Neurospora crassa OR74A: one gene and its partner. The protein of the gene in region 2 binds, or shares a complex with, the protein of the main gene of each other region. Links are inferred from orthologs where the notes say so. Each region holds a gene or a part of one and is shown on either strand. Other genes may lie near its edges.

The links.
Region 1: tim44 (region 2) and tim14 share a complex: the UniProt entries of both Schizosaccharomyces pombe proteins name them as parts of the PAM complex. The link is inferred for Neurospora crassa OR74A from reciprocal best matches to the Schizosaccharomyces pombe genes tim44 and tim14.

The regions. Positions count from the first base shown.
Region 1 is NC_026503.1:2,522,642-2,532,941, reverse strand, and holds tim14 (mitochondrial import inner membrane translocase subunit tim-14), read right to left. Parts: upstream 5,804-10,300; 5' UTR 5,592-5,803; coding exon 5,541-5,591; intron 5,352-5,540; coding exon 5,224-5,351; intron 4,944-5,223; coding exon 4,805-4,943; 3' UTR 4,191-4,804; downstream 1-4,190. Other genes in the region: mus-52 (Ku70/Ku80 family protein), read left to right, coding at 1-269, 339-350; qip (QDE-2-interacting protein), read left to right, coding at 1,894-2,319, 2,375-2,427, 2,486-3,229, 3,305-3,709, 3,774-3,948; NCU00074 (hypothetical protein), read right to left, coding at 6,568-7,026, 7,140-7,232. UniProt on the Schizosaccharomyces pombe protein: Essential component of the PAM complex, a complex required for the translocation of transit peptide-containing proteins from the inner membrane into the mitochondrial matrix in an ATP-dependent manner.
Region 2 is NC_026501.1:4,980,261-4,991,476, forward strand, and holds tim44 (mitochondrial inner membrane translocase subunit TIM44), read right to left. Parts: upstream 6,070-11,216; 5' UTR 5,867-6,069; coding exon 4,962-5,866; intron 4,912-4,961; coding exon 4,236-4,911; 3' UTR 3,685-4,235; downstream 1-3,684. Other genes in the region: NCU03230 (mitochondrial ribosomal protein subunit S18), read left to right, coding at 6,070-7,200; NCU03231 (mitochondrial chaperone BCS1), read left to right, coding at 7,783-9,204; NCU03232 (RNA binding protein Pym), read right to left, coding at 10,628-11,216. UniProt on the Schizosaccharomyces pombe protein: Essential component of the PAM complex, a complex required for the translocation of transit peptide-containing proteins from the inner membrane into the mitochondrial matrix in an ATP-dependent manner.

The DNA of each region.
Region 1 (10,300 bases), on a different chromosome or scaffold from region 2:
TTTGCAAGCTTGTCAGCGACAGCTTTGCGGATGTGCTGTACCCGAGAGCTGCCGAGAACCTCCGGGTGATGAGGGAGGAGCTAATAAACATGGAAGTTCCGACGCTTTACAACAAGTACATTACAAAACTCAAAGAGAGCCTGCTCTCAGGTAACTTAAATGGGGATCGAAGGGAGATGTGGTTCCGATGGATTGTTGGAGGGCGCTTGGGGTTGATCACGCAGGATGAATCTGAAGTGTCGGAAGTCAGTGAGAATGAGGCAAAGGCTGTGAGTGTCTAACCTGCAAACTACTTGTACCGTTCAGAAATTTGAGACTAAACTAACATTTTGTACTAGTTTCTGAAGTGAGTAGTCCTAATGCGTCCAGGTGGTCGGAATTAGGGGAGCAATATCACGCAGCTTGTTGCTGGAAGGGATTCAAGGATGTCGAAAGCAGCCACGTCTTTCGATTCCTACATAGTCTACTAGGACTACACCGTGCAGAGCAAGTCTATGGGAGGGTCGCTGACAGGTTCTGGAGAGGACACTGACGAAGAGCGGCAAAGGAAGCACCCCTTCAGTGCGCAAGAAGTCGGGTGAACAGGAGAACGGAGGGATGCATTTTCCGGAAGCAAGTGCAACTCAAGACACACAGTGTCATGTGTTGTGGCACGATAGATTCGTGACCAGATGATAGGGCTTTTCGGCTTTGCTGCCCAACGTCTGTTCACCTCATCTACTGCTCCAGGCTTGTTTATTCGATCAATACGGCCGCCAAATGTCAAGACTTTCAAGCATTATCTTGTTCAAGGCGGTGCAAGCGAATGTATACAAACAGCATCTTTTTGGTCGATATTATCTGGTTGTCGGTCTTATGTGTGATGCTTTGTTTACTTGTTCGTCACTCCCTCCGTCCTCCCAACGAATTTGGGTCTGGCATGCACAGTGCCAATTCTGCTACCGGCATTTAGGCAGACTACGCATCCATAGTAGTGCAACGACTAATACACTTCAACTTATCCAACCGTTTGCATGACATGCCTTTATCTGATCACGAGCAGTCATTTTACTTGTGATTCAGTCTGTAAGGCCGGCCCAGGGAATCGTCTTTTCCCTTCACAGGAATTGCCCATTTCTCCTCTTTGCCAAGTGGGGTCCTTTAATTCAACACTTACTTATTGTTCCGTCCTTTGTGAACTCTACAGTGGGGCACCTGTAGGCCTCATACCGTACCTCAAATCGTCACCACCTCAACGGGTAGTTGCGATTCTGTTCACTTATCTGTGATCGCTCCTTCCATTTTCGTCCCTTTCTAGTGTCCTGTTGGGAGCCTCCCACTGACGCGCCCGCTCACTCGCACCTTCCGCGTTGGTTGTAAGTACTGCTCAAGACCATTATTCACTTGAAGAATTAAGGAGCCTAAATCCGTTTCATCAACTGACCATCTGAACAAAATAGGTTTTCGGATGAGAAGTTTGGCCACTATCCAGGGCTTCCCATTCACTTCCATTGTGTCTGCCTAAGGACTATTTATATTTCCCTCGCTCACCTCTTCTCCGAAATATCTATTCCCTCCCGGACAATCGCTTTCGCGCAAGCCCTCCGCCCAGCAACGACAACCGCCCTACGACTGCGCGCGAGCCCACTTCGTTCAAGCGACGCTTTTTTCTTCCCTTCATTTCGCATCCTACCCTACGACACGTAAGTGGAATATCGTAGCAGAGACACCTAGGCTGAGATCTCCATTTGCCGAAAACGTCCCTCTCCAGATCAGCCGCCCCCTCATATTGCTGGCCCTATCACCACACCCGAGAGACATCACCAGATCCAAGATTAGAATCGCCGGCGTCGACTTCATGTCCAAGGCTAACTGATCTCTTAGTCACTCCTAACCGAACTATCGCTCGCCACCATGGAGGACGAGCAGTTCATGCAACAGCTGCGGAACCTTACCTGCCAGACTGTGGACTGGAGCGGATTCGATCCTTCGAAGTGGCGCGACGAAGACATCAATGACTGGGACATTAGTGATGACGCCCAGGGTGATGAGGACGACAATTATGCATCCGACGCTTCTATCCTGAGCGCCCGCCATCTGGATCCCTTTAACGTCAAACCTGCTACTCGCCCTCACCATACTGGCCCTACCTCCTTGCGCATTGAGGACGTGACCGACGAGCAGGAAGAGTACCGCGATGCTTCGGACTTGGAGAACATCAGCTGGCCAGAAGTCAGCGTGGAGCAGGGCGAGATCGATCCCATTACAGAACTCTTTACTCCCTGGAGAATGGTTCTGGAGTATCCCAACCTGTTTGTTGGCAAGCGCAACGGCGCGAGGGTGAGACCCATCATCGCAGTATGGATGAGTGTGACGCTAACAGTTCGTTCCCAAGGCTCGGCCTCTTTTTACGCTCGAGAGCCTACACGAAAACCGCATATGGGATCTGTAAGAGGTTGAGGTCTTATCGGGGTTGAGTCCACGACACTGTGTTAACACGCTCCAGATTCTACCTCTACCGGCCGTCCAACGAGGGGAACAATAATCCCTTGATCTTCGTCCCAACCTACCAGATGCAGCACCTACTCGACGTCATAAACAGAAAACTTGACGTAGAGTTCACGTTTCCTCGCGGACATCAAGACATGTTCGCCATGCCATTTGGGCAGAGTAATACAGCGAAACCGCGATTCCTTGGCCGTTCCAGATCTGCCGAGGAATGGAAGCAGCTTACGAACAACGTCCCGGCGCGTAAGCCCGGAGACACGTCGGAAAATGCTCCTTTCCTTGCCAAGCAGGAGCTCACACGCCGCTTGAACAGCATCTTTTCAATCCAAGACAAGAGCAAGAAGACCAAGAACAACCAGTACAAGCGAAGCAATCTTCACCGCGCCTGGGGAAAAAATATCAAGAGGGTTCAGCGGTATCTCGGTCTTCGCCGCAGAGTTTTATCTGACCCGGAAGTGTCATCATATACCCCGCTGGATCTCACCCAGCCTACTGGCATCCAGCCGGAGAAGTCTGTCGTGTTTGTGGCGATTGACCTTGAGGCTTATGAACTGGACCAAAGCATCATCACCGAGGTCGGCCTGGCAATTCTTGATACCGCGGAGATCACAAATGTTGCTCCTGGTGAAGGCAGCAAGAACTGGTTCGACTTCATCAAAGCACGACATATTCGCGTCAAGGAGTTTTCGTGGGCCCAAAACTCCAGGCATGTCCAAGGCCGCGCCGAATACTTTGACTTTGGGTATGTGTGATCTCATCCCTCATCCTTGCCCTGTCCCTGCCCCAAATCCGAAACCGAATTACTAACAATGTCCAGCGAGAGCGAGTTCATCGAGGTCGCGAAGATCGCCAGCGTTCTGAAGGAGACCATCGAGGGAGAGTCCTCCATCGGTGGTGAGGGAGCAAAGCGCCCCGTGGTCCTTGTATTCCACGACCAATCTCAAGATCTCAAATACATTCGCATGCTTGGCTATGATGTGGCCAGCGCGGACAACATTTTGGAGGTGGTAGACACTCGAGAGATGTACCAGTATCTCAGCCGTTCGAACAACGCCTCCAAACTTTCGAATGTTTGTGGCTACCTCGACATTCCGTGGAAGAACATGCACAACGCTGGAAATGACGCGGTCTACACTCTTCAGGCCATGATGGGCTTGGCCATTGACATGCGGCAGAAGAGCTTGGAGAGGGCTGCTGCGAAGGCTTCAAAGGCGAATACGAGGTAAGTCTTCAAGAAGAAAGGCCACAGGCCGGACGAAGTGCTGATATAATCATGTTTCTTTTAGTAACGATGGTTACGTTACTTACTCTGAATTCACCGCGACGAAGGAGGACGTCGATGAGGGTTGGATCAGCACCGGGGAGCTGTCTGATGGTGGCGAACCAAGCTTGGTGATGGCGGCGAGCACCGTCCCTAACTCCGTCGTTGAGACTACTGTGTGTGAAAACTGGGAGTTGTAATGGCTATGAGACTACCATATTTCCACCACCACTGCCCAGGGCGTAGGTGTACCTGGGAAAAGTTAGCTGATAAACTGGAGTCGAAGCAAGGCAAAGGGGCACAGGCAGGCAAGAAAAGGTGAAAAGGGCTGCACTCCAGCCAAAGCGAGCATCAAACCAGCATCTGGCAATGTTGTAACGCGCATCATCTAGTCTACGGCGTGTATACAGTGAAAAGGAGAACCGCTAAACTATTCAGTCCATGTGGCACAGAACACAATAATCGTATTGGTGCTAATATTTTTACATGGGTATGTTATTCAAGTTGTGCAAAGCGTACAAAAGCCTCCTACTTTTTTTCCATCCAAGCCACCCGCAAAGCCAAAAACCCGTCAACGCCAGTGCTATGAAGAACCATATGTGTGTTTTTGTTGTACAAGAATAGGGTAAGGAGCTTGTCTGAGGCCAATGTGTAGTAGCAGGCCGTATCATCATGGCGTAGGTGCTTTCTGATCGAACTCTGTCCTGTCTCGCGGCTCAGGCTTGACGAGATGCTGCTTGTAATCGAGTACCGCAGTGTTCCGCTAGCAGTGTTTGACGACTACCGTAGCCGGAGCTGCATACCCCAACCACTCAGCCCACTGAGGCGACACTGGTATCGTCGTAACAGACAAACTCGAGCTGGAGTTGGAGAGTGGTGTAAGGATGTCAATCTGTATTGTTCGTCTGTGTAAGACCTCCAAGAGACTCTAGACTCGCCTCTCACAGTTCCATCGTCGAGATCGATCAAATTAATCGCCTCGCATGGCGTTGCACTGCATCGAGACGGATTGGACCGAACAGATTGATCGGTCAACGAGATCAATCAAAATGGAACCTAGACGCTCTTTTCAAGGAACTCCTTAGCCTCGTTGACCTTGGTGGCCAGATACGGGCTGCCGCCACGATCGGGGTGGTTGAGGAGCATGAGGGTGCGATGGGCCTTGCGAATCTTGTCCTTCGTGATGGTGCGCTCACTGTTGGAGGGTAAGTGTTAGTTACTGGTTCCCTTTCGATTCATGGGGCTGACTCCGAAAGGTGGAACGCTATGTAGATGCGGGTGTGTGTGATGATGGGTAGGACGGAGCAACGGATGGATGAATGTATGAGACAAAGAGGTTCGTGGCCGGGCAGGCAGGCAGGCAGGCAGGCCATGAGGGACGAAGCAAGAAAGGGAAGAAAGAGGCATGGAATGGATGGGCACAACGACACAGGAGCGACAACGGACAACGACAAGGCGGACTGAACAAGACATACTTGAGCGAGAGAATCAACGAAGCCTCCTTCTTGTTCATCCGCGGCTCGAAACCACCCTTGTAGAAAGCCTTGCCGAGGGCGCCAACGCCGCCGCGCGAGCGGCGCCATGCTACGAGACCTGCGCGGCCCTGTTTTTGTTGGTAGGAAGGTTAGCTGATTCTTATTCTTTCCTCTTCCATGATCAACAACGACGTGGCTCAGGCATGACATCTGTTTCCAGTGGCTTTTTTTGTTGTTGAGTGATGGTAGAGACAGTGATTAAAGTGTGATGCCTGCCGGTGCGGGATCCATTCGCGAGCGATGGGAGTAGGACTCACCAGGAAAGCGGCGACGGCGACGCCGGCGCCAATAGCTACTGCTGACGACATTGTGATTGTGCGGGTTGGGTTTGGGTTGTATTGGGTTTATGGGAGTCGGTTGATGTTGACGTCGTCCGGGGACTGATGCTCAGTTGAGGCTGTCGTCAGTGATCAAGTGCGGGTGGGTTGATCTTGGGCGGGCCGGCGTATCGATGTACGGATACACGGGTAGAATGGGATGGATGGAGTTCGGTGATGCGAGGACGGGACGGCGAGGTTTGTCCGTTGTTTAAGCGAACTTTTTTGCCGGCAGCGGCAACGTATCAGCCCTTTATGGCGGGCGTTATCGGGTTTGCCGCGCGTGTTACGGCAGGCAATGGCGGGCACCTTGAGCGCTGCCAAGCGTTGGGAGGTGAATATGCGACTAACAGAGGCTCGGACTCGCTTAGCGCATAGGCAACGCTTCGTTACACACATCATAGACTATCATCACTATCGTCGCCGTCCGCTCACACCTGCTACATGTTGTCAACTATCGCTCAACCAGCTTATACAATTCGTATGCTGAGCCGATAACTTGTGCGGACTGCCCGCACGTCAATGTCGAGATTGATGCCGCTTCCGTGGAAGTGAATGCTTTGCGTCAACTCCACCTAACGGATGATCAAGATCCGAAAATGATAAACATACATAAACGTCGTTAACAAGGCCTCCATCGCAAATTTTTGGCTATCGGTAAACAGCCCTGCTTCTTCCCGTCAGTCTGACGGTGTCGTAATCCAGAGCCCGCTCAAAACTTGCCTGCTTGAGGGGACTAAAGGGGGTATCATTGCCCATTACACAGCATACCAATCGGTTCCTCCTACTTCCCGATTGTAGCGATGTGCATGGGTTTGCTTGTGCATCGTTTTCCATCTCTTTCCCAAACTCCCTTTTGACCAACCCAACGAAACGTGAACAGAACCAGAACCATGACCACCCATCTCATCACACATATCCCTTCATCCACCTTTTTTACGCAGACCCTCATCATCAAGGGTACGTCTCAAGGCTCAGCAGACACCAACCTCTCATGCTTTAGCTCAAACTTGGCATGATACGCCGGTCTCGGCATTGCCAGCCCGGCCTCCACATCCTGCAACACCCTCGCGTTAAGATCCTCTATCATCTTGCGCTGCTGCTCTGGGTCCAGTCGATGCTGGGCGCTTCGCGCCGCGTTATCGTTGTAGTTGCCCGCGCCGCCACGCCCGCTCAGCCGGCCGGAGAGGTTCGGCCGCTGGATGCTCGCCGTCACGACGCGCGTCAGCTCCTCGAGCTCGGCCTCCTTCTCCTCCTCCTGCTGCTGGGCGGCGGCCGCGTCGGTTGCCGAGGCGTCGTAGAAGTTGCCGGCGCCGCCGCGACCACCGGCTCGCGAGCTGCTGAGACTGGTTTGTGCGGTGATGGAGCGCTCGAGGGTTGTTGGCGAGGTAGAACCGGAAGAAGACTTCTTTTGCGCTTCGAGATCCTGTGGGGTTGGTTTGAGAATGGCGAACAATACGAAAAGACAGCCGAGGCACAGGCGGATCAAAGGAGAAGTGTTTGTCCGATTTCGTGTGTGCAATGGATGGGTACACTCACAGCAGCCGCCTTCTCGGCATCCTCAATGTCCTTTTTACTATACCAATTGCCCGCACCTCCGCGGCCCACTCTGCGGAAGACTTCCGATGACATTTCGAGTCCGCGCGACGAGAACGACTGGTAACCAAGTAAAAGATAAAAGGGCGAGTGGTAGGTAGGTAGGTAGGGAAAGGTACGTAAGCACGACTGGTAGGTTCAACGCCCAACAACAGCAGCAGCAGCAACAGGCCAACAGGAGTCCTTAGACAACAAAAGGGTAGGAGTAAGTAGCGTGAAGTAAGCTTGGTTCTTGACGAGAGAAAAAAAAAAAAAAAAAAAAAAAACCTTGTTTGTTATGTCGCGGCCAGGTTGACGAGTTTCAGGGAGGCAACGCTGATCCGATTGAAGACGGCGCACACCCGCCGGGAACATCCAATTGCTTGTGTACATGTAGGGGACTTTATTGCGGGGTTGTTGATTTTTCACATTAACACATGCATCCCATGACATTGCCAATGCCACACGTAACCAATCCGTCTTACTCATCTCCAAACTTCTAATTAGAGTGCCAGAGGCCTCCTTGGAGTGTCATCAACAGCCCGAGGAAGTTAAGCCGGGACCACAAACTACGTAGGTACTCCTTGTTATTATCGTCAAGGCTTGGTCCGGTCAGGCCCATTCCCTCTCTGCTAGACTGCCACAGCCATTTCGCGTGATGCTCGTACGAATACATAGGAGCTACGGCCAACAGCGCCATGCCACTCGGTAGATGTAGCTATCCTTTACAAGTATCACTACTCGACTTCACTACGAATGAGTATTCAACATTGTGGCCTCAATCTTCATGTCTGGCTGTCAGGGTACCGCAGATCCAAACAGTGGTCCGCCTCGGGTTGGTTATGTCGATCAAGTAAAGTATCTACACTAGACTACATGATGGCTTCGGCACCTCCCGGTTCCCGTCGACCGTTGCGAAAGCACAAGTTCCATGGATTTCCTTTATACCACCCCTCTTCCTCTCTCCATGTTCCATTCTGAGAACTTCGTTCTTTTGAAAGGATGCTGCGGGCTTGTCCAGGCCAGTACTATATACCATGCCTACACCTCCGGTTATGCATCCAGCAACGGCCCAGGGCGCGAGAATATCAATAAGCCTAGACCCCTGCTGCGCTGGTATTGATGCAGGTACAAGCCGACCACAGATACTTCTTGATCTCAAGCTTTTGTTATCAGATAATGAACTGCAAGTTTGTCACGCATCCCGTGCTGGTACCGTCTTTTCCACAAAGGTCCCATCAGTGATCTGGAGTTAGATGTTCAACTTGCGTATCCTTCTCCAGCGCGGTCGAGCCAACTCACCGGTTTTTTTTTTTTTTTTTTTTTTTTTTTTTTTTTTTCGGTGTGATGCCTGAAGCCGAATTTGATGAACACCGTCAACTGTTCCACCGTAAAAACGTGCGGGGTAGAAAGGAGTCCTTCTCACTTCCAGCGTTGATTGGTGAGGTGCACAGAAGTAGAGGACGAACTCTTGTCAAGGTACGTGTACAATGCCTAGAATAGAATGCTCCTCCTTGAATGGATAGGTGTGAACACCGATCATTAAGACGTTGCGAACTCTGTACTGACCCCGATCGACCTACCTAACAAACTCAACAGATTAGGTATAAACGGGGAAGTAGCAGAGGATCGCAAAAGCCAACTTCGAAGTCCAATTTTTTTTTTTCTTTTACACTTAAATCCGACCCCGATCATATCAAACAGCCGGCGACTAAGCCGCCGATCTCGTCACATGTTTTCATAAAAACGGAACCATCGTCTGCCGAATAAGGCTTCCACTGCCCGCCGGTCCGTGAGGAATTCCAGTGCCCCATCATTGACGGAATATTTCAGCACATATGACCCACGGGAGACTTCGCCGTCAAAACACTGAATCCAAGGACGGAGTCAGACTTTCAGAAGTGTCTCTACAAAGCCCGCCATTTCCCGGCCGGGACCGGAGGGATCGGATGGGAACTGGGCCTCCACTTGTCGTGTGTCTGCCTTTCTTGGAATCCTTGCTAGGGAAGTTCAACCATGTACTTGGTCAGACTGTCCCGTCGGTTTCCGCTATTCAACGTCATTTCGTGGATCGTTCCACGCGAGCGAGGAACGTCGCAGAAGAGAGACCACATCCCCAGCTGTTTCGCAATTGATACATGAATATCTTGTACATTTATGCTGCTGGTGACCTGCCTTTTTGCAATTACTGTGCCGCTTCCAAAGGGTTACAGAGCACAATCCGTGGCACATGCCTTTCTTTCTTTCTTTGGATCTTGTAGTGTGTGAGTATCTTTCGTGAGAAGAAATGTGACGGACACTGTAGCCCGTTTTCACCTCGTGTGCTCATGGGTGTATTTTAGACAGTCTCGAGGCCTGGCTGGCAGCGCGTCCCTTACGTCGAATGCAGGTGACGTTGGGCGGCATCTGGCTCGAAGGCAGGTGACGGACAATCTCGAAAATGGTACATATTCTGTTGGTCAGCGGATAGGCTACATAGATAGAAGGTAGGTGTCGTCCGAAAAGGCGAACCATATTGGAATGAAGAGCATAGTAAACTTCAATGTACATAGTACTCTTTCCGATGGCCCAACAAAACCTTAAAGCCTCTTCAGAATCCGACACGGAGAAATTCAACGAAAAAAACATAAATAAACAAATAACTGTGACTGGGAATTGTCAATCTGTCCCACTGCAGCCTTACCTCACCTCCATGCGAGCCAGTTGGATATCGTCCAGCTTGCCCAACTTACCCACTCTTTGCCCTGCCCGTCCTGATGATCTGTGCCTTAGCCTGATGGGCTAAACAGGCAGAGGTTTTTTTGCCACTGGACGACCGCCGCGAAGCCTTAAAAGTAGTGTAGGTCTGATGAAGTGACCAGACCCACCGGTATACAGGTACAAGTATGCCCTGCTACCAAAATCAGACCCCTGTCAATACAATTTCAGACCACTAACCGTTGCAATTGCACGTTATAGTTTTTACATCAGAGGGGGGTGCGGGCAGTCGAAATCCTTTGCAAAAGAGGGGGATTTGCTTTGTATCAACAGGGGTTTTAACTGTATTAGGGTCTCCTTCAACCAGAAAGCCCGGGGGCACTTTTGACGATGTTGAGAAATGGTTGGATGTCGGCTATCAATGTCGT
Region 2 (11,216 bases):
CGGAAATGGTGGTAGTCGAAGAAGAAGTGGAGGGGAAGATGATGGAGTTGTGTCTCAAACAAATCGACCACGGCAAAGTCGAGCCCACTTGGAAGTAGCGGTACCTTCCCTAATATTGTTGGATAAAAGCGCCGCCTGGGAGCTTCCAATTCGTTGGTTCGGGGATGCGTCCGAGTTTAGGGTGAAGGGGAACTAACAGGAGGTTTTATGTCACTCCTCTGTGAAAGGGAAGGTGTGGAACTGCGCGAGGCGGCCGCAACAAAGAAGTCCAGGCACAGCCGTCGTCCAGCCAATAACACAACAGCTGGTTGAGAGGGAAGGCACGCCTCTAAATTTCGGTAATCCTGCTGCAAGGCTGAGTTTGAGGAAGGCAAGGGTGACTTCAACAGCTGAGCCAGAGGCACCAGGGGCAGTGATGTAATTGAGGAGTCCTCCCAACTCCCAACGGCTGTGATCAATGGTAGGCAAAGTTCCCGTGGCTGCCTGTCTAGCTGACGAAACGCGAAGCGGCGGATATATGCCCTTGAGGGTTCTGGCCGTTGTACCTTTTTGCTGTCTTGATGAGAGTACACTAGACACCTGAATGGTCCTGGCACACAACTACTCCCAACTTTGACCAACCACTGTTTCCTCAGCTGAAAACAAACTGGGCTATCCTCTGTTCCAGGCTTTTGAGCTGATCAAACCAAATGTCTGTTTGGGAAACTGCTCATACCCATGCTTTCTTCGCAAAAAATAGGCCCAAGAGAGATGGCAAAAGTCCAGCCTTGTCTGTGATCTGATTCCTGTCAAACTGGAAGATTACTAGCTTGTCCTAGGGCGCTGCTCGTTTCTTCTGGTGGTGGCTTCGTTTCCACGTGTTCTGTGTTGTTGTAACAGTTGCTGGTGCCTCCTAGAGTGATCCTTTCTGTCTGGTAGCACGTTTATATCCGTATGTCTTGTTGTTTTTGGGCTGACGTCGATGATTCCTTGGGTTTTCAAGCCTCGTCGAGCCGCTCGGATCTAGAGAGTTATCGATGACTCTTTGAACCTTGCCATACATGCGGGACAAGCCACTTATAAGTCGGTTCTCCTTGCCGACCTGGAGCTAACAACGAGCATAATGTGTTACAGAGCGCAGCAGAAATGAAGCCCTCACTATGCCTGCTTGACACAAAAAACGCCTTAAATGTGTTGTCCCAATGCGTACTATGAATGTACCACGCCGGATCCTCTGTAAGCTTGCAATGCGCAAACTTGAAAGTTGGGAAGCTGTTTGATGTCGTGTACGTCCAAGCCTAGCTTGTCCTTCGATATCGGAAGATGTTGAACTAAGGGGTCGGCATAAATGAAGACTGGCTTATTGTACAAAGAGGAGAGGAAGAGTCGGCGGATGTGTGGGAGTATGCATGGTATCTGACAATTGGAAATAAGGCGGTTTGTTGCGAAGACATCAGAAGCAGGAAAGGCTGACCATGAGTAGCGCAACCAGAGAAGAATACCGCCACGTCGCGAACGAGTAGGAGAATATGACAGGATGGTGTTGGGACAACTAGCCAAAAGAAAGAAAGAAAGAAAGACACAACGTTATTGTACGTTACACAACTAAGCCAACCCGGCGGCATCTAAGCTCTTGTTCCACACCATCTCGTGGGTCGGACATGGAGGCGTCTGGTGGGATGGAGCAGCCCGTTGTGTCTTACGCTTCCCAGCTGGCATGCTTCGCGTGAAAAGAAAGAGACGGTGTGCAAAGGACCCTAGGCAGGCCCAATGTGGGCGTCGACACACAAATTGGCAGAGTCTTCAGACTTGAATGCAGGAGAGCCTTGTGAGGCCATGCTCGAACGACGGGACTTGTTAGCTCTTGGTAGGTATGGCCGTATTCTCTTTTTCCTTCTTCCTGACCTCCAGCATAGTTTTAGTGGCGCCTTTGAGGTTGGGATGCTTGTTGCTCTTGCGAATTGACCCCTGTTATTTCCGCCAAGCATATAATAGTCTCAGTGAGCATCTGTCGTCACATTTTTGATCAACACAATGACAAAATTTGTGCTGTTGACTCCATGAGACGGGTTCGGGACCATCCGAATCATACATTCCGATAGGTATTTCTGACCTTGGTCAATCTAGACTGAGACAGTCTGACCGCCGGAGAAAGGCCCGCACAGAAAACGGAAGGAGAAGCAACGAGAGCAGTCCTATGGATCTCCATTGCTACATTGCCAGCGAGTATGCAAGAGTAACAATAATCGCTCCATGTGGCAGATTGTCGTGCTTCAACAAGCAACATGACAATGACGGCATATGGTTATCCCCTGCTTTGTCGATGCTTCGCGTTGAATGTAGGGAGGACGTGTATCCTCTTGGCCAAGACTAGGAGCCTGGAGTCGATGCGATAAGAAGTAGGACGGCAAGCATCCTTTTCGCGTTGCACCGAGTATGCAATTGGTGCACAGCAGGGAAGACAGTTACCCATTAAACCCTGTCGAACTGTCGTCCCAAGCAAACTTCCGCTTCGCTGTGTTGCAGTGTTTGAGACGGTGCTCGACCGGCCCGTCAATGGAGTCTCAGACAACACGCCTATGGTAATTCTCAACAAAACGAGAGAAACTCGCTGTCAAAAGCTTGATCCGGTTCGGAGTGTCGTTTTCGGCTCCGCGTGCTCCACCCCGACGCCGGCCTTGGCGTCGGCGGTGATCCGAATAATCTCGACTTTGGTTTCTGTCCGGCTCGGTCCTATTCGGTCCTGCCATCGTGGGCTATCTCTTTCATCTAGGCACTATCACCGGTGTTCTTATTTGCATGGCCTGCGACTGAAACGGCTTTCTTGAATGCTTCATATAAGCCATCAATCAGTCCAGACCGCTCGAGATCAACGATTCGTCAGACCCCGTAAATAGTAGTGACGAAGCGCATAATGGCGTTGCCCTACTCCCAGCTTGGAACGACACTCGTGCCAGATGGGAATGGGTATGGGCATTGTGTGGCAACACAACGTTCATAGGAGGGAGGCGGCGTACATGAATGACCGGCAATGATGGGCTTCTAATTGCAAGCCCACGGGTTCCGGTCCCAGGAGAGATCATCGTCAAGCATCGCGAGACCAGAGACAATACCTGCCGCGCCCTTCGGCCCCGTACCTGAGCTGTGTAGCATAGGTATGCGAGTCGGGTGGGACAGACGCGACGCAGACCACCTCAAGAATTGTGTGTAGGTAGACAGTTGATGTTGAATGCTGCCGAGAAAAGCGCTGGTTTATGAGGCGCAAATGGCAAGCATATGGTGCCGCTTGAGGATAGAATTGTGCTCATACAATATAGGGTATCAGTGGGTTACAGCCTAATAACCATGGGTGCATGGTCTAGTGGTATGATTTCTGTTTTGCATTGAAATTTCTATCTTGCTCTACAGACGGTCCCGCGTTCGATCCGCGGTGCATCCAATTCTTTTGACTTTTTGAGTCTCAGAAAGCTATTTGGTTTTTGTTGCATCAACATTGTACCAGATGCCTTGATTTTTGAATTTTTGTTTGGAGAATTTTCTTTCGGCGTGCGCGTGTTTTTGTCTTGCTGAGATCCGGTCACTTGACTGTCTCGATCAATGTACTGGGGCTTATCACATGTGAGATCGGGTGAATCGAGAGAATTAACGACACCAAGTCTCAGTTATGTTCTACATTCGCACGGTACCTTGGTGTATGATTGCCTAATGAAATTCGTTTCAAGCACTATAGGCCATTGGAGGCGGTTAATCAGCTTAAAACAGACCAACGGAGGAGGCTCGGGAGGGGGGAGATGATTCAAGCACAGGCAGAGGATCGATACCAACGTCCTATCCAAAGAACCAATGTCATTGTTCTGTACAAAAGCGGGTATCGCTTCAAAACGCCTATATCTGTTTCGCTCCACAGCTCTTTTGTGACTGCCCTCAGTCCCGCTATTATATTGTACAGTGTGACCATTTCGTCATGGCACCAATCTTTGATCCGTATGCCCTTATTCAGAGTGGTGTGTTTATGCTGGAAATGCTCAAGGCGCCCGCTCCGTAGCCTGCCTTTCTATACATGTGCGACGAAGATTCCGAAACTCCCAATGGCCCCCATGCGACCAGATCCCAGTTTTGGTATGATACATTTATTCTTGGTTGCCGCAACCGATAATAGTGTAGTGAACATAAACAAGCGCTCGACGCCGAGTGGTGATGTGGCAAAAGCGTGCTCCTTCACCTTAAAAGACACGCTCGTTGGAAAAAATGCGGGCTTAGATGTAATCACGCCCGCTCTTCTGCATCTCGATCAATCTCCAACCCCTGGTCTCGGGGTTGTTGACATCCTCAGGAATACGAGTAATGCCAATGGCGTAGGTCACAAGCTGAACCTTGTCCTCCATACCGGCCGCCAACTTTCCAGTCTTGGCGTTCTTGTAAACGTGAACTTCTTGAGTCCTGCAAGTGATGACGAAAACAGGAATGTCGCCAGGCTCAAGCATCCGCGCCTTGAGAACATCAACACCACGGATGTCGAGAATGCGTCCGTCGGACTTGAGACCAGCCTGGAGATACTGCTTGGTCAAAGCCTCATAGACGGAGTACTGGGCCTCCGAGAGCCAGAGCTTCAGTGTTTCAACATCACCCTTGACGTACGCCTCGAGGACTTCAGGAAGGATGTACTCGCGCAACTCCATAAGGAAATTCTCCATGTTGAAGCCGGGGTCCAATTCGCGAAGCTTCTTGATGACCTGAGCGGTCTCGTTTTCGGCGAAGAAACTGCCAATCTTGTCGGTGATACTCCTAGCAGTGGAGATGAGGGGGTTTTCCGACTCCTCGTAGACGGTCTTCAAGCCGAAAACATTCTGGACGAACTTGTTGGAGTCGCGGAAATCCCTCCATGCCTCCTTCCAAGCGGCATCTTTGTGGAGAGTGACGTTGGTTCCGGCACTGCAACAGTTAGCAAATCGACCAGATATGTCCGCAGGGCTTGTTCTTACTTGGGATCCTCCTCAAGGATCTGAGGGCCTTTGCCAGCTGACTCCTTCAGCCACTTCTCTCTGCGTTTCCTACGTTCCTCCTTCTCAGCCCAGCCGCCATATCTGGAGCTGCTTCCGTCATCGATGACGTCCTTCACGTTCTTGTAAGCCTCAGTCTCGCGGATAGGCTTCGTTGCCTTGTCCAGAACCTCTCCGGTGATGTTGGCGCCCTTACGCACTCCCTTCATCACTGGCGTCTCCCAAGTCCACTGAGCACCCTTGCCGACGGCAGTCGCGGTGGTCTTGACAACCTTGCCAGCCGTAGAGGAAACAGTACCAGAGGTGGCTTCGTACGCCTGTCGTGCACGGCGAATGGCCTCGCTCTCTGCGATCTGGTTGGCGGAGGCGGCCAATGCCTTGGTCGACTCGTTCCATTCCTGAGACTGCTTGAACTCGGTCTGCATGGTCTCCATGAAGACCTGCCAGGGAGTCTTGTCACCGTGGGGAGGTGGAGGCGGCGCATCCTCCTTCTTTTCCTTCTTGGGCTCACCCTCTGACTTCTCGCCCTCCTCCTTTGCTTCTTCAGACTTGGACTCTTTCTTTCCAGTGGGCTCTTCTTGCGCCTTGGGTTCGGTCTCTGGCGTTTGCTGCTTAGGCTGCTCCTGTTGCTGCAGCGCGCGGAACGAGGCGTGGAACGAGCGGGCTTGTATCGCGTTAGGGGTAAAAGGCGACCTTAGTAGAGGAATCTCCTGCGCGGAGATGGGCGTGGCGGGAGAGATGCGACTTTCGGTGGTGTTGACACGGGAAGCGCGGCTGGACAAGAGCCGGCTGGTCGCCGGTGACCTGACATGGGTGGTATGAGGAACGGCCGTGGCTCTCAACGGAGCCCCCGGCGACGTCCTTAGGACATGCCTATATGCGTTCATGTTTGCTATCCCAGCTGGACCGTCCTGCGGAAAAACCTGGGAGACGGAGCCTTCAAGCTGATGCAGACAACAAGTCGAAGCACGGGAGTGGAGTGCGTAAAGTTGGCGGACGGAGGGCAATCTTGCAAGGGCCGAGGACAGAACTTAGAATTTGCGCGCAAGCTAATGGAAAATGGATCGGTGGAAATTCTGCTGCAACGCCAATGGCCGGGCAAATCGATCCAATACGCGCTGAATTGGTCGGCTGGACACCGAGGGTCCCCCGAAATCTTTTGGCTTCTTTGCCCCCGCTCGGCCGCAAAACTGCTCCAAAACTGCCCCAGAACATTTCGTTCAGTCCCCCGCTGTCGGCTCACCCTTGTTACCAATGCCAAGAAAAGTGCCTGCCCCACCGCCGACCGGTTTCATGGTCGCCCTTGATTCTGCAGCGGTGCCGCTTGCGTTGCCTGCCCCGCGGCCATCCACTCAAAATTTCGAGGACCTTTGAACTTCCGGTCGGCGAACGGGACGGGAGCCACCCACTCACGGCATTCGCACGCGCACCGCGCACCACGGAGCCACGGTCTCTCCACTACCTGTACGACTCGCTTCCCCCAACTCCGGCATTGTGTGCGCAACTGCTCTTCCACCAGCTCATTCAAGGTCACTTTTCCTTTGTCGTCCACCCCACCGTCGCGACAGCTCCGAGGAGCATTTGGCCAGCAAAGATGAGCCGCTTCTCTACCGGCCGCCTTCTGGCGCAGAACCTCTTCCAGGCCTTCAACAAGCCCGTTTTCCCCAGCGCCACGCCAGTATGGACGCGGGCGTTCTCACAGACCGCCGCCAGGAGGGACGCCGATTCCGAAAGCTCAGCCAAGTTGATGGAGTCTTTGACTCGGGGCATTGTCGGCATGGCCGCAGATCCCACCGATTTGACCGGTGACAAGCTTGCAACCAACATTGGATTGAGGGATACCGAGGACGAGCCATACCACTTCCACATCTACTCGCACAAGCACAACACTCACATTACCGTCACCAAGCCAAACCGCGACGCTCTCATATCCCTTTCGTGCGGCAACCTTGGCTTCAAGAAGTCTAACCGCAAACACTACGACTCGGCATATCAGTTGGGCGCCTACGTGGTAGACAAGATGCATCAGATGAACTTGCACAATAAGATCAAGAAGATGGAGGTGGTCTTACGAGGATTCGGCCCTGGCAGAGAGGCGGTCATCAAGGTTCTGCTTGGAAACGAAGGAAGGATGTTGCGCAGCTCCATCGTACGTGTCAGCGATGCCACACGCCTCAAGTTCGGTGGTACAAGGAGCAAGAAGCCCAGACGTTTGGGTTAAGCGAGTGCAGCTGGTCTTGGGGACAGAATTGGATGGGGAGCCGTCACAGCCTGGCTGGCAGCAATGGGCTGGCGGTCGTGTACATGTCATGTATAAACAAGAATCTGTCATTGAATTGCATGTTAGGATACCCGGAAGGGGACCGCATGCCGATCCGCTTCCAGGTTCTGTTCTCTTCATTTCTTATGACATTTAAAAGGGTGCTTTGAGGCTCAGAGAGCGTATTTGTTGCTGTACATGGCCCAAGGATGAGCTTCCGGATGTCCCATTGCATTGGAGACCACGGCGAGGAACACCGAATCGTTGGATTACCTTGGTTCCGATACTGTACTGTAGCGTCCCTCTTGGGAATCTAGAGGTACCGGCAGCCCGGCAAGAACCGTACTGTTGGACCCACTTAAATTTTCAATTGTCGGCATGGCTCCCGGCGACGGGAGCTAAACGTCGAACATTAACCAAATTCGGATGAATTCCACCTTATCCCAGACCTCATCCGACCCGGAGCCCTCTCAATTCTTGCCGACCCTTTTCGGCCTTCAACCTCTTCCGCAAAGCCATGTAGAATAGAGAACTTCGACCACAATGTCGACCGATCCGCAAACCCCGCTTACAGCGGGATCAATTCTCAACCTCGATGTGCTCTTCAACAATCCCGTTTTCGCCGGTGGCATGGGCCTCGCCGGCCTTGGCGCCGCCGCCGCCTTTGGTCGCCGGGCTGCCATCCGTGGTGCCGGATTACTGAAACGTCAGATGCTGGTCAATGTCGAGATCAGCAAGCGTGATCCTTCCTATAACTGGGTCCTTGCCTGGCTGGCGCTGCCGCGAGACAACACCGGCTTCATCGCCCAGCGACTGACGCGGCTCCGCAACCTCTCCGTCTCTACCACCACCAAGTCTATCACCCCCGGCAAGGACGAAGGAAGCTCGCACGCAGATTTCCGCGTGCAACCCGGCTTTGGCCGCCACATCATCCGGCACAAACCCGGCGTGTACATCGCCGTGAACCGGGAGAAGGCGAGCACGACTCAGACGGCAACGGGCGAGCCGCACGAGACGCTGACCCTCACCCTCTTGTGGCCGCACCGACATGTGCTGGGCGAGATCTTCACCGAGGCGCACCAGATGGCGCACCGCTTCCACGAAGGCAAGACGGTCGTCTACACGGCGAAGCGCATGGAGTGGATGCCATTGGGCAAGCCCAGGCTCAAGCGGCCTCTTGGTAGCGTCATTCTCGACAAGGGCGTTAAAGAGAGCATCGTAGACGATGTGAAGGAGTTCTTGGCGGCCCAGCAGTGGTACACCGACAGAGGCGTGCCCTACCGTCGTGGCTACCTTCTCTATGGCCCGCCCGGTACTGGGAAAACGTCCTTTATCCAGGCGCTCGCGGGCGAGTTGGATTACAGCGTTGCCATGATCAACCTCAGCGAGGTCGGCATCACGGATGATTTGCTGGCTCACCTGTTGACCCAGCAGCCTGAGAAGAGCATTTTGGTTCTGGAAGATGTCGACGCTGCGCTCGTCAACCGGAGACCGAGGGATTCTGATGGCTACAGCGGCGGCACAGTGACGTTTTCCGGTCTTCTCAATGCCCTAGACGGTTTGGCTGCCGGCGAAAACCGGATAGCCTTCCTCACCACCAACCACATCGATCGCTTGGACCCGGCCCTGATCCGCCCTGGCCGTGTCGACATGATGATGCGCATTGGCGAGGCAACCAGGCACCAGGCTGCCGAGATGTGGGATCGCTACTATGGTGACATTGACACGGACCATTCCGGCCGCGAAAGGTTCCTCAACAGGCTAGATGAGCTCGGACTCTTTGGCGAGAACAACCAGGACCCCGATGCTCCCAAGAGACATACCTCGACGGCGGCTATCCAGGGTCTGTTCCAGTTCAACAAGAATGATATGGAAGGTGCTATTAGAATGGCTGAAGGCTTGATTCCCCGGACCTTTGTGGCCGAAAACCCTTCAAGTGATGGCAGCATGAAGTCTCCGGCATGAACGAGGATGGACGGCCTGGCACGAAATCATGTACGAATAGCTGTATAACAAGACATTGTTCAGGAGCAAAAAGAATGATACCCATTATAGCAACCCGTCTTGAATGCTAATTTGAATGAAGTATTGAATCTGCTTTGCTATCATTGTCGTCATGTTAAGGTTATGTATGGTTCATCCTATTCTCGGAAGTGAATATATCATATCAAGAGAGAAGGGTTGACTCGATTAGCGGGCTCGAAGAAGTGTATAGTATTTCTAGACGACCCTTTTACTCACGCTGGAGTGAAAGGGTCAAATAACAGGGCATGCAGAGGGTTTCTTTCCCGAATCATCCTACACAATGAATTTGATTACAACATTCTCTTGAAGTGGAACAGCCAGGTTCGTCTTTTTCAATGTTCTATATCATTACGCTGTTTGGAGTCAAAGATTTTTCTCTACTGGTGGTTTAGGTCTTGCTTCCTGCTTAAATCTTATTTCCGCTCTTTCCAGATCCGCCTCACTTCTTCCGAGTCCTTTGTGACCTTCAAACCCACTATATAAGCCCAACTTTTCCCACCGGGGCTCACGCATATAGCGCCACGGATGTTTCTATGCCACACTCGTAATAGTGACCGTACCTATGCTGCCCGTAGACCTCTAGTTCAAAGAATGACCATTATTTCCTTTCGTCTTTTCATCTCAATAAGGAAGTGCCGTCCAGGATGATGCATCGTGACGTCGAACCTTGAAGGAGACCTTGGAAAAGAGGGACAGAAAGCTAGCTTCTATTTATGATTCCGACCAAACACCTCTACAACGGAACTATACCGGAACCTTTCTCTCGACGGTTATTGGGCGAAATGCGCTGTCAGAGCTGACAGTACATGTACAGGCGCATATTTCCAAGTTGCTGTTGGACGCTTAACGTGACTTTCGCCAAGCCGTTGCCTCCTTGTTATCTGATCCCACCTTCCCTGCAGGGCAGGATCCGACATCCCTCTCGTCTTGAACTGTAAATTGACTGTACAGACCCTGTACAGCCAGCAGCATTCGAAACCATCACTCTTTATCGTCGTCGTCCCTTTCATCTTAACAATTTGCCTTGGACATTCGCCTTGGACCATTCGCCTTTACCCGATCGCAACGTTCAGAGCAGCAGCACTTCCCGTCATGGCATATTCATACAGCTACCCCATGCTCCCCAGGCCCTCAACGCGGGCGCGCGGAGCGGCAGAAGGCTCAAAGGTCGGCGTGCAGTGTCAAAGAGTGTCGAAAGGCTTCCCAGTTTAGGCTCATGCTGAAGGATTGTTCAGGGATCGTCGTGAATCGAGTGTGGCGCATCAATTGGACCGGCGGAGCAGTGTCTCTGTAACTTGGCCATAGCAATTGCCGGCCAGGACCTATGCTCATGATCTTTATCCTCGATCGTCACTTTCCTGCTTCAGGTCGAGTCCTCTTTTGGTTCAGACGAAGCCTTTGCGGTCTTTGGCTCCCCTTCAGAGTCGAAACCAAGGGCATCCAATTCCCGGATGAGTTCGTTGATCTTGATAACCTTGGCGATCTGTTCAGGTAACAACGACTCTCCACCATCCTTCTTGTCCTTCAGCTCCTTGGCCTGGCGAAGCTTCTTCTTTACATTCCGGGCCTTCTTCTCCTTCTCGGCTTCCGGGTCGAGCTCTTCTGGCTTGAGTGCAGGGGCCGCTGCAACAGCTGTCTTCTGATCCTCGCCTTCTATTTCGCCAGCAGCCTTGGCTTTTTTGCGCGCTTCCCGACGTTTGGCATTTTTGTTAGCCGCCGCACTGAGCTGCTGGTCCGACTTGTCCTCCTTCAATCCCTCTGCGCCCGGCACTGGGCCTTTGCCGCGCTGGCGAAAGCCCTCGGCGGTGCGGTTCTTGTACACCTCGACATCCTCGGGCGGGCGGTAGCCGGGGCGGACTTTGATAGCTTTTCTGGTACTCCCGTCGGCTCTCTTAGACTCGGGGATGACACGCTCGCCGTTTTTGTCAGTTATGATGCCGGAGTTTGTTGGC